Saccharomyces cerevisiae S288C: one gene and its partners. The gene in region 1 interacts genetically with each later gene. Each region holds a gene or a part of one and is shown in the gene's direction. Other genes may lie near its edges.

What was found.
Region 2: mutations in PAR32 (region 1) and NFU1 together harm fitness more than expected from each alone (negative genetic interaction), as found in Saccharomyces cerevisiae (2 studies listed by BioGRID).
Region 3: of PAR32 (region 1) and MEP3, changing one suppresses a phenotype caused by changing the other (phenotypic suppression), as found in Saccharomyces cerevisiae (one study listed by BioGRID).

What each region holds. Positions count from the first base shown.
Region 1 is NC_001136.10:143,655-149,578, forward strand, and holds PAR32 (Par32p), read left to right. Parts: upstream 1-4,536; coding exon 4,537-5,424; downstream 5,425-5,924. Other genes in the region: GID12 (Gid12p), read left to right, coding at 1-569; AIR2 (TRAMP complex RNA-binding subunit), read right to left, coding at 830-1,864; DLD1 (D-lactate dehydrogenase), read right to left, coding at 2,172-3,935; GLT1 (glutamate synthase (NADH)), read right to left, coding at 5,549-5,924. UniProt on the Saccharomyces cerevisiae protein: Involved in resistance to cisplatin.
Region 2 is NC_001143.9:360,558-363,417, reverse strand, and holds NFU1 (Nfu1p), read left to right. Parts: upstream 1-1,589; coding exon 1,590-2,360; downstream 2,361-2,860. Other genes in the region: PTM1 (Ptm1p), read right to left, coding at 1-796; ESCRT-III subunit protein VPS24, read right to left, coding at 2,601-2,860. UniProt on the Saccharomyces cerevisiae protein: Involved in iron homeostasis within the mitochondrion where it is involved in the assembly of iron-sulfur proteins.
Region 3 is NC_001148.4:810,484-814,340, reverse strand, and holds MEP3 (ammonium permease MEP3), read left to right. Parts: upstream 1-1,887; coding exon 1,888-3,357; downstream 3,358-3,857. Other genes in the region: lysophosphatidic acid acyltransferase LOA1, read left to right, coding at 283-1,185. UniProt on the Saccharomyces cerevisiae protein: Transporter for ammonium (both charged and uncharged NH3 and NH4) to use as a nitrogen source. The affinity of MEP2 is about twenty times higher than that of MEP1. MEP3 has the lowest affinity.

The sequences.
Region 1 (5,924 bases):
AAAATGGAACTAATGAAGAAGAGTGGGCAGAAAGTCAAATGAAGGTGGATGGCCAAGTGATAGATGATGAGACAGCTCAATTCAAGCAGGCATTGGGAAATTTATGTTCATTCAAGAAATTATTTATGCTGGATGATTCTTTATGCTTTATATTGGACACACATGGAGTTTTGTTGATAAATAGATTTGAAATAAAAAATACCAAAAATTTGTTAAGGAATTCCAAGGATACTATTCGGATAATACCCCATGATTTCGGATTGATTAATGATACAATTGTTATAATTAATGATATAGACGTAGGCACAGACAATGTTTGCGCCCTTACGTTTCACTTGGTGGTAACATCAATGGCAGGAGAGATAACTGTTCTTAAAGGCGAATTTTTCAAAAACTGCAGGTTAGGAAGAATAAAACTGTGCGATTCACTAAAGCTAAATAGAAAAGATCGGTTTGTCGACAAACTTGCTCTAATCGATTATGACGGTTTAAATGCACAAAAAAGAAGGTTAGATTACGATGAAAAGGACCTTTATACATTCATTGTGAAAAAGGTAAAAAGAGACTAAATTGAGTTGCATAGATGTTAGCCATAATAGAAAATAGCGTATGAGGTAGCAGGAGTTATAAGACGTATTTACGTATATGTATGTATATGTTATTATTATTACCTGTGATTGCACGAAGGCCTTTTTTTTTCACAACAAGAAGATGTAAGAAATTTACATGCTATTTTGATTAATGGTCGAATTAGGTATTGTCTTTAATCTTTCATTAAGAAAATATAATGTAACCAAGAACAGCTTGTTAAAGGGCTTCCTATTTAAAGTTATCTTCTTTTCCCCAAGGTACCACTCCTATATGGTTGATAAGAATTGTAGTTTCTGTAATTGGAAGAGTTGGAAATGCTGTTATTATCAACATAAGTAGAAGGGTTATATCTGGAGCCATACATATTCTCCGATATCGACGAGACGTTTACTTTTGTATTTTGATACCGTGAATTTTTACTAATATTATTATTGAGTGACAGCGTCTCGCCCCTTATAGTTGGTTGAATGACATTAGACTTTTGATAAGGAGGAGGATGGAAGTTCGATGCTCTACGTTTATTTCTGCCACTATGAGAGTGATCGTTTTGGGAATGTCTTTTATGGGAAGGTCTCGGTAGTGGATCCTCATCGTATATGGACTCACTAAATTGATAGTCTTCATTTTCGTCCGAATTTCTGTTCATGTGACGGTAATATTCCTGTTTTAGCTCAACTGACAAATTAGAACCAGTGAACGCACTTCCATCCTCGTTAGGTACTCTAGATGATCGTTTTTCCTTGCAATCATCACCAAAGTGCCCCTTTCCACCGCAGTTATAACAGTATATAGTATGAAAGGGAAGGACCTTGGGCTTAGCCTTTTCATTATCATCTACTAAAATATATGCTCTCCATATACTAGGACATCTTTCTTTTGAGTGTTTCTTACTCTTACAAAGAGTGCACTGAACTTTTTTCCATTTATGTGGACATTGTGACCTGTAATGACCCACCTCATCACACTTTGAACACTGGATAGCCTTCGGACAATGTCGAGAATAATGATCATCCGTCGCCCCACAGTACGAACATATTATATGGGGACAATCCTTCTTCAAATGACCTCTTTGAGAGCAATTATTACATTTAGGTGCTGCCTCTTTAATGGCATCCTTGTCATCATCGCTTACGCCAAAATATCTACCCTGCCCTCTAAGAGCTCTTAATTCGTTGGGATTACTATTTACTTCCTCTATAGAAGGTGCTACAAGTTTATCTGGAGGAGTTGTGGGTGCCGTATCGACGACAAATGGTGCCGTATTTTTTTCCATGACTGCGAGGAAGTGATGTAAGCTGCTATCGTTGTACAGGTAAGGTTTAATTCTCTCTGATGCTGCCAATAGTCATAACTTTTTTCGAAATGTTTCTTCCCATCCCATTAGTGTTTGAAGGAAAAAAAGGCACTACCCGGATCATGAATACATTTGATGGTAATAATATATATCACATTTTTAAGCATGTATTAGCTACTGGGAAAGGGCATTTTGAAATGGTATGTTTTCTTTAAGGATGAACTATATATATTACATGAAATATATTTCAGGTTTACGTGAAGGGTGAAAAAGGAAAATCAGATACTCACCTGTAATCATTAGCGGGCTCGTTTGGATCAGTTTTAAAGATTTTGTCCGGGTTCATGATTCTCTTTGGGTCAATAGCTAGCTTAATCTTTCTCATCAAATCGACGGGTGCTTCACCTAATTCTTCGAGCAAGTACTCTCTTTTACCAATACCAACACCGTGTTCACCCGTGCAAGTGCCTTCTGCGTTCAGTGCTCTCTTGACCATTCTGTCAACAAGTTGGCTACAGGTTTCGTGTTCTTCAGGGGTTCTGTAGACGATGAATGCATGGAAGTTACCATCACCTGCATGACCAACAATGGCGTTGATCAGCTTACTAGCTTGCATGTCCTTTTTAGTTTCGTGAATAACCTTGTCGAACTGCGACACAGGAACAGCTACATCAGTTGTCCAAATTTTAGCTGATTTGTCTTTGCTCTTATCAGCGTCTAGCACAGACCATAGCGCGACCTTTCTAGCTTCCCATAATTCCAATTTTTCGTCATCATCTTTAGCAAACTGAAAACTGTTGCAGTGATTTAACTGGGCGACAGCCTTAACTTCATCCACAAGAGCATTGACAATGTTGGGAGATCTCCCACCAATCTTGAAAAACATAGTTGGTTTCTCTACCCAATCACATCTGTCCGTGGATTCAGATGCGTTGATCAACTTCATCATATTTTCATCCAGTAACTCCATGGCGTTCAAATGAATACCACTCTGAGTCAGATTAGAAGCACATGCGGCCGCATCCTTGATAGTATCAAAGGATACCACCGCAACAGTTTCAGCTTTGGGCTTGACATGACACTTGACAGTAGCTTCAGTAACAATACCTAAGGTACCTTCACTTCCCACAAATAAACCATTTAAGTTATAGCCAGCGCTCGACTTTCTGGGTCTTTTCTTCGTCTTGACAATGGTCCCGTCCGGCAACACTATAGTCATGTTTATAATATTCTCCTTCATGGTACCGTAACGGTAGGCGTTGGTTCCTGAACAAGAATTAGCAATGCAACCACCAATCTGTGCACCTGGACCAGGGTCACAGCCAAACATCAAACCGTGGTCGCTCAAATAGTCATTCAAATCCTCCCAGGGTAGACCGGCCTGCACGGTGATGTCCAGGTCCAGCTTGTCAAATTTTACGACGTTATTCATAAACTTGGACAGGTCTACGGTTATGGTATCTCCAATTCTTGTAGGCAGGAAGTGCCCCTCCAAGGACGTTCCGCCCGAGAAGGGTACAACTGGCATGTTGTTATCGTGACATATTTTCAAAATTTTGGAAACTTCTTCGGTAGTATGAGGGAATAATATAATCCTAGGTCTTTGCTCGGGAGAGGGGTGATGCGTGTTGAAGTAGGTATCTGAATGGGCGTCCAAATCGGATTTCGCATCAGAGTAGTTTTCAGGCTTGTTTCCCAGCACCTGCTTCAGGTCCTCAACAACCTTATCGATCTTAACCGGGTCGTGCAAATAGTCTGGTGAGTCCAATGAGGACAGCTTTAACGTAGAATTTACTGGGTCGATCTTTTTGACCATTTCCAGCTTCTCTATCAAATCTTCCTTAGTCTCCCTAGAATAGAGGTTCTTAGCGAACAAATAACCGAATAGAGTAGCTGAAGAGGCGATGACAGAGTATTTTAACCACTGGCTGCTGCTGTCGGTGCTGCCTGTGCCTGTTGAGGCGTATCTGTAGCATGATCTTCTCACCAGCCTTCCTCTAGGTTGTGCAATAGGCTTTATTAGCCTTGTGCAAGTACGCTTCCACAACATTGTTCTTGCTTTTGTTTCCAGCTGGATCGGAATGATGTACAATATTTAAATTGCACTATAACACGGAAGCTCAAGAAATCTTTCCAGCCCACACACACACACACATATATATATACATATGTAGTTCCGAGTGCAAAATCGCTAAGCGGTTATTACTGCACCAGTTGGGGCCAACTACGCTGGATCGACGTGGGATTGGCAGGGAAGAACTTCGAGGGAGGTGGTCGGAGAAGAGAGTGGGATGCGGGCGTGGGGGTCTGCTGTTACTTTTATCGGCACAACGGACCTGGGTTGACAAGAGCTTGAAGGCTCCAAGAGACAGCGACCGTCGGCGCCGAATGACGAAACTATGCTGTGTGTGACCAGGCGAACAACATTGAGAGAGTTGAGGAGCCGTACGGACAGCTGTTTGTAGTGATATTTCCTTGTTGTAACCAGACGAGTTCCTTTATAACGTTTTGAAATGTTTCATAGGGTTACCCTGACAGAGCGGTGGCTTATGTCAAAAAGGCTGACGCTGATACTAATGACGGTCAATGGAAGCATATGAGCAAAAGCAGCAGCAGCGTTAGCAGCAGCAGTAGCGTAAGACCAAGTTAGTATGGCTACGTTCAACCCACAAAACGAGATGGAGAACCAGGCACGTGTACAAGAGTACAAGGTCTCCACTGGCAGAGGCGGAGCTGGCAACATCCATAAATCTATGTCCAAGCCGTCTCCCGTACTTCTTCCATTGAAATCCAATTCAAAGACAGTAGCAAACAACAATAATAACGGTAGCAACCAGGAAAAGGTTCCTCGTTTTGCAATTGGTAGAGGTGGTGCCGGTAATATCTTTCATGATCCGCACCTGACGAGATCCGCCCAACAACTGGACTCTAACGACAATATCAACTATAACGACGTGATCAATGACATCGACGATTATATTTCCCCTATAACTTCGGATATGGTGGATGAAGGTGGGTCAAACCCGGTGACCAACACCAGGTCTCGTATCAGCGCTACAAGGAGCCATCAGTCTTTGCATGCCACCACTTCGTCTCCGAACAACAACGCCCCAATTGTCGTTGGTAGAGGTGGGGCAGGAAACATTTTCTTCAACAAAAAAAAGGTGGCCAGCAATGGTGGAAATGAAGAGGATGAGATACGAGGCGGCAATATCGAGGATGAGGATACTATCAATGCAAACGAGGACAACCTGTTTGTGGTGACTTCCAATGGCAATGCTTTGGCGGCAATCAAGTCCACGTCCAAGAAGCCTAAAAATAAGCTCAAGGGCAAAAGCGCACCGGAAAAATTTGCTATTGGAAGAGGTGGCGCTGGAAACATAATTTCTCCAAAGTCAAGCAGGAACACTATCAACCATAACTTAAACGATGATGATGAAGATAAGTTTAATTTGAAAGATGACAATGGTAAAGAGAAGAAGAAGAAGAAGAAGAAGAAATCAGGGTTTTTCAGTTCTTTGAAAACTATGTTTAATTGAAATAACATTCATCAGCAAAATTAATAAACTAAATAAAATAAATAAATAAATAAATAAATAAATAAATAAATAAATAAATAAATAAATAATATACGATCATAAAATAAATAATAACTCAAGCTTTTTAGACTTGACTAGCTAATTCTTTCAATAGTTTGTAATCACGTTGAACGATACCACCATTACTTGGTAGATACGTAGTGCCGTCCATTAGGAACTTATCGACAGAGGCAGCACATTTTCTACCTTCTTGGATGGCCCAGACAATCAAAGATTGCCCTCTTCTACAGTCACCACATGCAAAAGTCTTTCCTCCATCAATAGAGTATGAGGAGTCGTCGAGTGTGGCAATCGTACCACGTCTTGTCTTCTTAACTTCGTTATCGTTGCCATTGATCAATTCAGGACCCACGAAACCCATAGACAACAAAATGATATCGGCTTCAAAGATCTCTTCACTGTTGGGAATTTCTACCATTTGCCATACGCCACTTTGTGAC
Region 2 (2,860 bases), on another chromosome or scaffold:
CCATATAAACTTTTATTCCCGCAGTATCACCTTTTTCATTTTTCAAATCATAGTAAGCCCATACAAATATGGTTTCTGCGGTTAAAAATACAAAAAAGGCCAGCAAATACTTTTGTAATGGTAACAATTCATGCTTGTGCTTCCAGAAGGCGAAGGAATATAACGCCATCGCCACAACGTATGCGACCGCCAAAAGACCATATAGTGGCAATTTGTTGATCTCGGTGCCCGCAAGCTGACCATAAGCATTCCTGAAATTCACCACAGCGTTGAACTTGGTAGACGTCGATGATCTGAACGCAGTAACACAATAAAATCCGGTTTCTTTTATTGGGTATCTAGTATCATGAAGGCCGACCTCATTTTGAGAAAACGTCATGATTGGATTGGCCAAAGATCTATTTGTGGAAGTATATGGATCATATACAACATCTTGAACAATAAACTCATCACGATTCTCCTCTTCACAAATCCCGATATCAATTGCATAATCATCACAAATATAATACATTTCTTCATCCGGCAATTGCACACCTAAGTGCTCAAAGTCTTGGAAATCATAGATTGCAACGACTAAGCCTGGATCAGACTCATCACTCAATCCACTTATTTTTTTAAGATTGAATGATATAAACGGGTCTATTTTGCCCTTCCAATCTTCTTTGGAATACATACCTGCGCATACTTGATAATTCTTTTGACTTATCTTTTCCTTGTTAGCTTTTACGAACACTAGAAGGTAGCATAAGAAGCAGGTGAATAATTGGAAAGGTCGGCAAAACTGATATACTCTCATTGTGCCCTTACACTCTTAGTTTCTGTAAATTTACTGCCTTTTTACCAGCTGTTTCTTGAAATTACCGAGAAAATATTCTATTTCAATTTTTAACCTGCAAAACCTGAACAGAATAGTTGATCCTCTTGACTATTAGTTTGAGGCTAAGTTTTTTTTTCCACTCTCCCTATTCCTACTCCTATATATATCTTGCTCTATCTTTTTCTTCAAGTTCGTTTTTTCACACACTATTTAAAAGACCAAGCTTATGTGTGACGTGCACGGGTGCAATATCTAAATCGGGCAAAACAACTAAGCAGTAATTAAAGTACCACACTCTAGCCGAAAAGAGGTATACATGAAGGTTGAAGATTCGGAAGCAATTCCCAAATTATGTTCAACATTACGGATATTACAATGTTCAATGCGCATAATACACCATAGAAGAAAATTGGCACTACGTATATACTGTCCATTGTTCTTTTAAACACAAAATTGAAACGTCTGCGGTCTCTTGAGGATAAAACAATGTACATTGAGTATAGTAACATGCTAAGCGTTAGCTTGTATCATCAAGACCGTCAAAGCAGGCATTTCATCAAATCTATAGGACCACTTAGCGGAGTCCTGGTGATTGTAGAAATAGCCTTCTAACGTATCAAGTGATAAATAATTTAAGTTTTCCGAATTTCAGTGATCTACTTACAATATTGCTTATTAATCATTATAAAAAGAAGCGTATTTAGCGGACTAATTAGAATACATAAGGCATTCTCAGCGTAATCTAAGCAAAAAAGCAAGAAATTGACTAACAATGTTCAAATCAGTGGCTAAATTGGGGAAGTCTCCGATTTTTTACTTAAATTCTCAGAGATTAATTCATATTAAGACTTTAACAACTCCAAATGAAAATGCTTTAAAATTTCTCTCCACAGATGGCGAGATGCTACAGACGCGTGGCTCCAAGAGTATAGTTATTAAGAACACTGATGAAAACCTCATCAACCATTCCAAGTTAGCACAGCAAATTTTTTTGCAGTGTCCAGGAGTGGAGTCTTTAATGATAGGTGATGATTTTCTCACTATTAATAAAGACAGAATGGTCCATTGGAATAGTATCAAGCCTGAAATTATAGATTTGTTAACCAAGCAACTTGCTTACGGTGAAGATGTTATATCCAAAGAATTCCATGCTGTCCAAGAAGAAGAAGGAGAAGGTGGCTACAAAATAAATATGCCCAAATTTGAACTTACCGAAGAAGATGAAGAGGTCAGCGAATTGATTGAAGAGCTGATAGATACAAGAATAAGACCAGCCATCTTGGAGGACGGCGGTGATATCGATTACCGTGGGTGGGATCCAAAGACTGGAACCGTTTATTTAAGATTACAAGGTGCATGTACCTCATGCTCTTCTAGTGAAGTGACTTTGAAGTACGGTATTGAGTCCATGTTGAAGCACTATGTGGATGAAGTGAAAGAAGTGATTCAGATCATGGATCCTGAGCAAGAAATAGCATTAAAGGAATTTGATAAGCTTGAAAAAAAGTTGGAATCGAGTAAAAATACAAGCCATGAAAAGTAAATATTCCGTCCTTCAAATGAAAATACAAGATGAGACGAAAATAAAAGGAAGTGTGTATATACTGTCTTTACCCTCACTATTACTTGATAGTCCGTACATGTTTCAACGGTCATCATGGAAAAAGGGTAAAGCACTCAACTTTTTCCATACACTAAAAACGGGTGCCCTTTTTACTGTGTTATTCGTACCATTATTTATTCACTTATTTATTTATTTTCTTTGTACAGTCACAGTAACACTCTAGTTTTGCAAAGCTCTCAGCCTTTCACGCATTTCATTTACCATCCTATCTGCTTCCTCATCAACTTTTTCATCCGGAATTTCTTGCTCTTCTTCATTGGCTGCTAATTCTACGGTTGGCACTTGGTCAACATTCTTGAATTTCTCGTTTGTGTATTGTTCAACTATCTTATTAACTTCTTCATCAACAGCTTCGTCCATCTCTTCCCCTACGTCCCCAACACTCTCCATGGTATCATCCACCATTTCACTTATAATCC
Region 3 (3,857 bases), on another chromosome or scaffold:
TAAACAAATTTTTTAACAAAAGATGAGGCTCTCAGTAAATGGTTTCTGCTGGAATTACTCAGCATACATGTTCCTCCATCCTTAAGTGTTTTACAAAAAAAAACGCTATGTTTGAGGTCCGATATCTCGGTCTGAGTGAAGGTAGAAGAAAAAAGTTATCTCAAGAAAAAAGAAAAAGATGAAGCCTTTTCTCAACGTGACTGGAGTAACGTAATAGAAATACTGTCAGATCCTGGCGTGAAAGAAGTAGCTCCTACGAGGTGACAAAATACAAGAAAAGTAATGGAAAAGTACACCAATTGGAGAGACAATGGTACGGGAATAGCTCCATTTCTACCAAACACAATCAGGAAACCTAGTAAGGTGATGACAGCGTGTTTGTTGGGTATCCTAGGGGTGAAAACCATTATAATGCTACCATTGATTATGCTGTACCTTCTAACTGGCCAGAACAACTTACTGGGTTTGATATTGAAGTTTACATTCAGTTGGAAAGAGGAAATTACCGTGCAAGGAATCAAGAAACGTGACGTAAGGAAATCCAAGCATTATCCACAGAAGGGCAAGCTTTATATTTGCAATTGTACCTCACCTTTAGATGCTTTTTCAGTGGTGTTATTAGCTCAAGGGCCTGTTACGTTGTTGGTCCCATCCAATGACATTGTATACAAAGTTTCCATAAGAGAATTCATCAACTTCATCCTCGCCGGTGGGTTAGATATAAAACTCTATGGCCACGAGGTAGCAGAGCTATCTCAATTGGGCAATACCGTGAATTTTATGTTTGCTGAGGGTACCTCATGTAATGGTAAAAGCGTCTTACCGTTTAGTATAACCGGGAAAAAACTTAAAGAATTCATAGACCCTTCAATAACCACAATGAACCCCGCAATGGCCAAAACTAAAAAATTTGAATTGCAGACCATCCAAATCAAAACTAATAAAACTGCCATCACCACATTGCCCATCTCCAATATGGAGTATTTATCTAGATTTCTGAACAAGGGCATTAATGTTAAATGCAAGATCAACGAGCCACAAGTACTCTCGGATAATTTAGAGGAATTACGCGTTGCATTAAACGGTGGCGACAAATATAAACTAGTCTCACGGAAGTTAGATGTTGAATCTAAGAGGAATTTTGTGAAGGAATATATCAGCGATCAACGTAAAAAGAGGAAGTAGAAATACTTATGAAGGCATGCATGCATGCATACATATTTATATATATATGTCTTTAGGAGTATGTATTGCATTTAATCGAAACAAACAAGAAAAAGAAGAGTAGATGTGCCCGTTTCTGTCACTCCTATTTACTGACACTTTCTTGACCTACCTCAAACCAGTTCCAGTTCCGGCAAAAAGTGCCGCGCGGCGGAGAAACATCTCCACCTTATCTCGGCGCCAAATCCTTATCTCTCGTAGCTGGTTTGCCCGCGATAAGGCGGGCGAGTTATTTTGAAGTTTTCCATAAACTGGTTTTCCATCTCGAGGTTTTTCCTCGCTTTCCACGCTATGACCCTTTTTAGTTAAGGTACCCGATGGCATACTTTATATATTATATATATATGTTAAGTTAATATGTTTTAGCAGATTTGATATGCTGATATGCAGCACGGACTTTCCCTCTCCTTGTCTTATCGCATCTTATCGCAACAATTTGATAGATATCTTCTCCCTTTCCTATCTTGTAGAATAAGGTTGTGTGCTTTGAGTCTGATAGCCGTCTTCTTTCGGTCGCTTCTTCTCTCTTTTGGTTCTTTGATTGTCTATTACAATCAATGCAGGCTAGTTAAGGGTCCAATCACTTTTGAAATTGTTTTGTAAAAAGCGAAGGCATTTTTTTTTTAGAAGATACAATTGAAAACATATAGATTTAGAGTTCACATGGCTCGGGGTGACGGACATCTATGGACAGAGACATATGATAGTTCCACAGTCGCTTTTATGATTTTAGGTGCCGCCCTGGTTTTCTTCATGGTACCGGGGCTGGGCTTTCTTTATTCCGGTTTAGCAAGAAGAAAATCTGCTCTGGCTTTGATTTGGGTAGTGATAATGGCTACCTTAGTAGGTATACTGCAATGGTATTTTTGGGGCTATTCTTTAGCATTCTCTAAGACTGCGACGAACAACAAATTTATCGGCAACTTGGATTCATTTGGGTTTAGAAACGTCTATGGCAAAATTTCGGATGATTCCACGTATCCTGAACTGATTTATGCCATTTTCCAAATGATGTTCATGTGTGTCGCATTGAGTATTATAGCTGGTGCCACTGCGGAAAGAGGTAAGCTTTTTCCACATATGGTTTTTCTTTTTGTTTTTGCGACTTTGGTTTACTGTCCCATCACTTATTGGATTTGGGCCCCAGGTGGTTGGGCCTACCAATGGGGGGTATTAGACTGGGCTGGCGGTGGGAATATTGAAATCCTAAGTGCTGTGGCTGGTTTCGTTTATTCTTATTTTCTAGGAAGAAGAAAAGAAAACCTCCTGATCAACTTTAGACCACATAATGTTTCCATGGTGACTTTGGGTACTTCTATACTTTGGTTTGGTTGGTTGCTTTTCAATGCTGCAAGCTCACTGTCACCAAATATGAGGTCCGTATATGCGTTCATGAACACTTGTCTCAGCGCCACCACGGGTGGAATGACGTGGTGTTTATTAGATTATCGATCTGAAAAAAAATGGTCCACTGTTGGGTTATGCTCCGGCATTATCTGTGGTTTAGTTGCTGCCACGCCTAGCTCGGGTTGTATTACTCTATATGGCTCTTTGATCCAAGGTATAATAGCGGGTGTTGTTTGTAATTTTGCAACAAAAATAAAGTATTATTTAAAAGTGGATGATTCCTTAGATCTATTAGCTGAACACGGTATCGCCGGTGTGGTGGGATTGATTTTTAACGCTCTATTTGCAGCTGATTGGGTTATTGGAATGGACGGCACAACAAAGCATAAGGGTGGTTGGTTGACGCATAACTGGAAACAAATGTATATTCAAATTGCCTATATCGGTGCCTCTGCCGGCTATTGTGCTGTGGTCACGGCCATCATTTGCTTCGTATTAGGTAAAATTCCGGGTGTCCATCTAAGAGTCACTGAGGAAGCCGAAGCATTGGGGTTGGATGAAGATCAAATAGGCGAATTCGCTTACGATTACGTGGAGGTTAGGAGAGATTATTACCAGTGGGGTGTAGATACAGATGCACTTCATACTACATGCAATGGCGCTAATTCTGCGTCTGAGACAAATCCTACTGAGGACAGCCAAAACTCCTCATTGTCATCAGCTACAGTAAGCGGCCAAAACGAAAAAAGTAATAATCCTAAATTGCATCACGCAAAAGAAGCATGAATCAACTCCCCAGTAACTGCTCGTCGGCACATTGAACGGAAGTGCCGCGATACTAGATTTTTTTTTATTTATTTATTTCTGAACTTTTTAATTTTATATTCTGCATTTTATCATAGACTCACAAAACAAATTCATTTCATCATTTGGTATTTTTACTCACCATTCTATATGCCATAATAATATTAAAAAACTTAACGTCTGTTCCCTAAAAAAAAACTAATTTAGTAAAAAATACGACCCCAGTGAGGGTTGAACTCACGATCTTGCGATTAACAGTCGCACGCCTTAACCAACTTGGCCATGGAGTCGCAAATAATGATGAATTGGGACTTTAAAACCGCTTCCACATCTGAATCATATCTCCGGTATTTATTTCTTTGCAACCAAAATATGGATATCGAGATGTATTTGATGAATAATTTGTTGGAATAGAAATCAACTATCATCTACTAACTAGTATTTACATTACTAGTATATTATCATATACGGTGTTAGAAGAT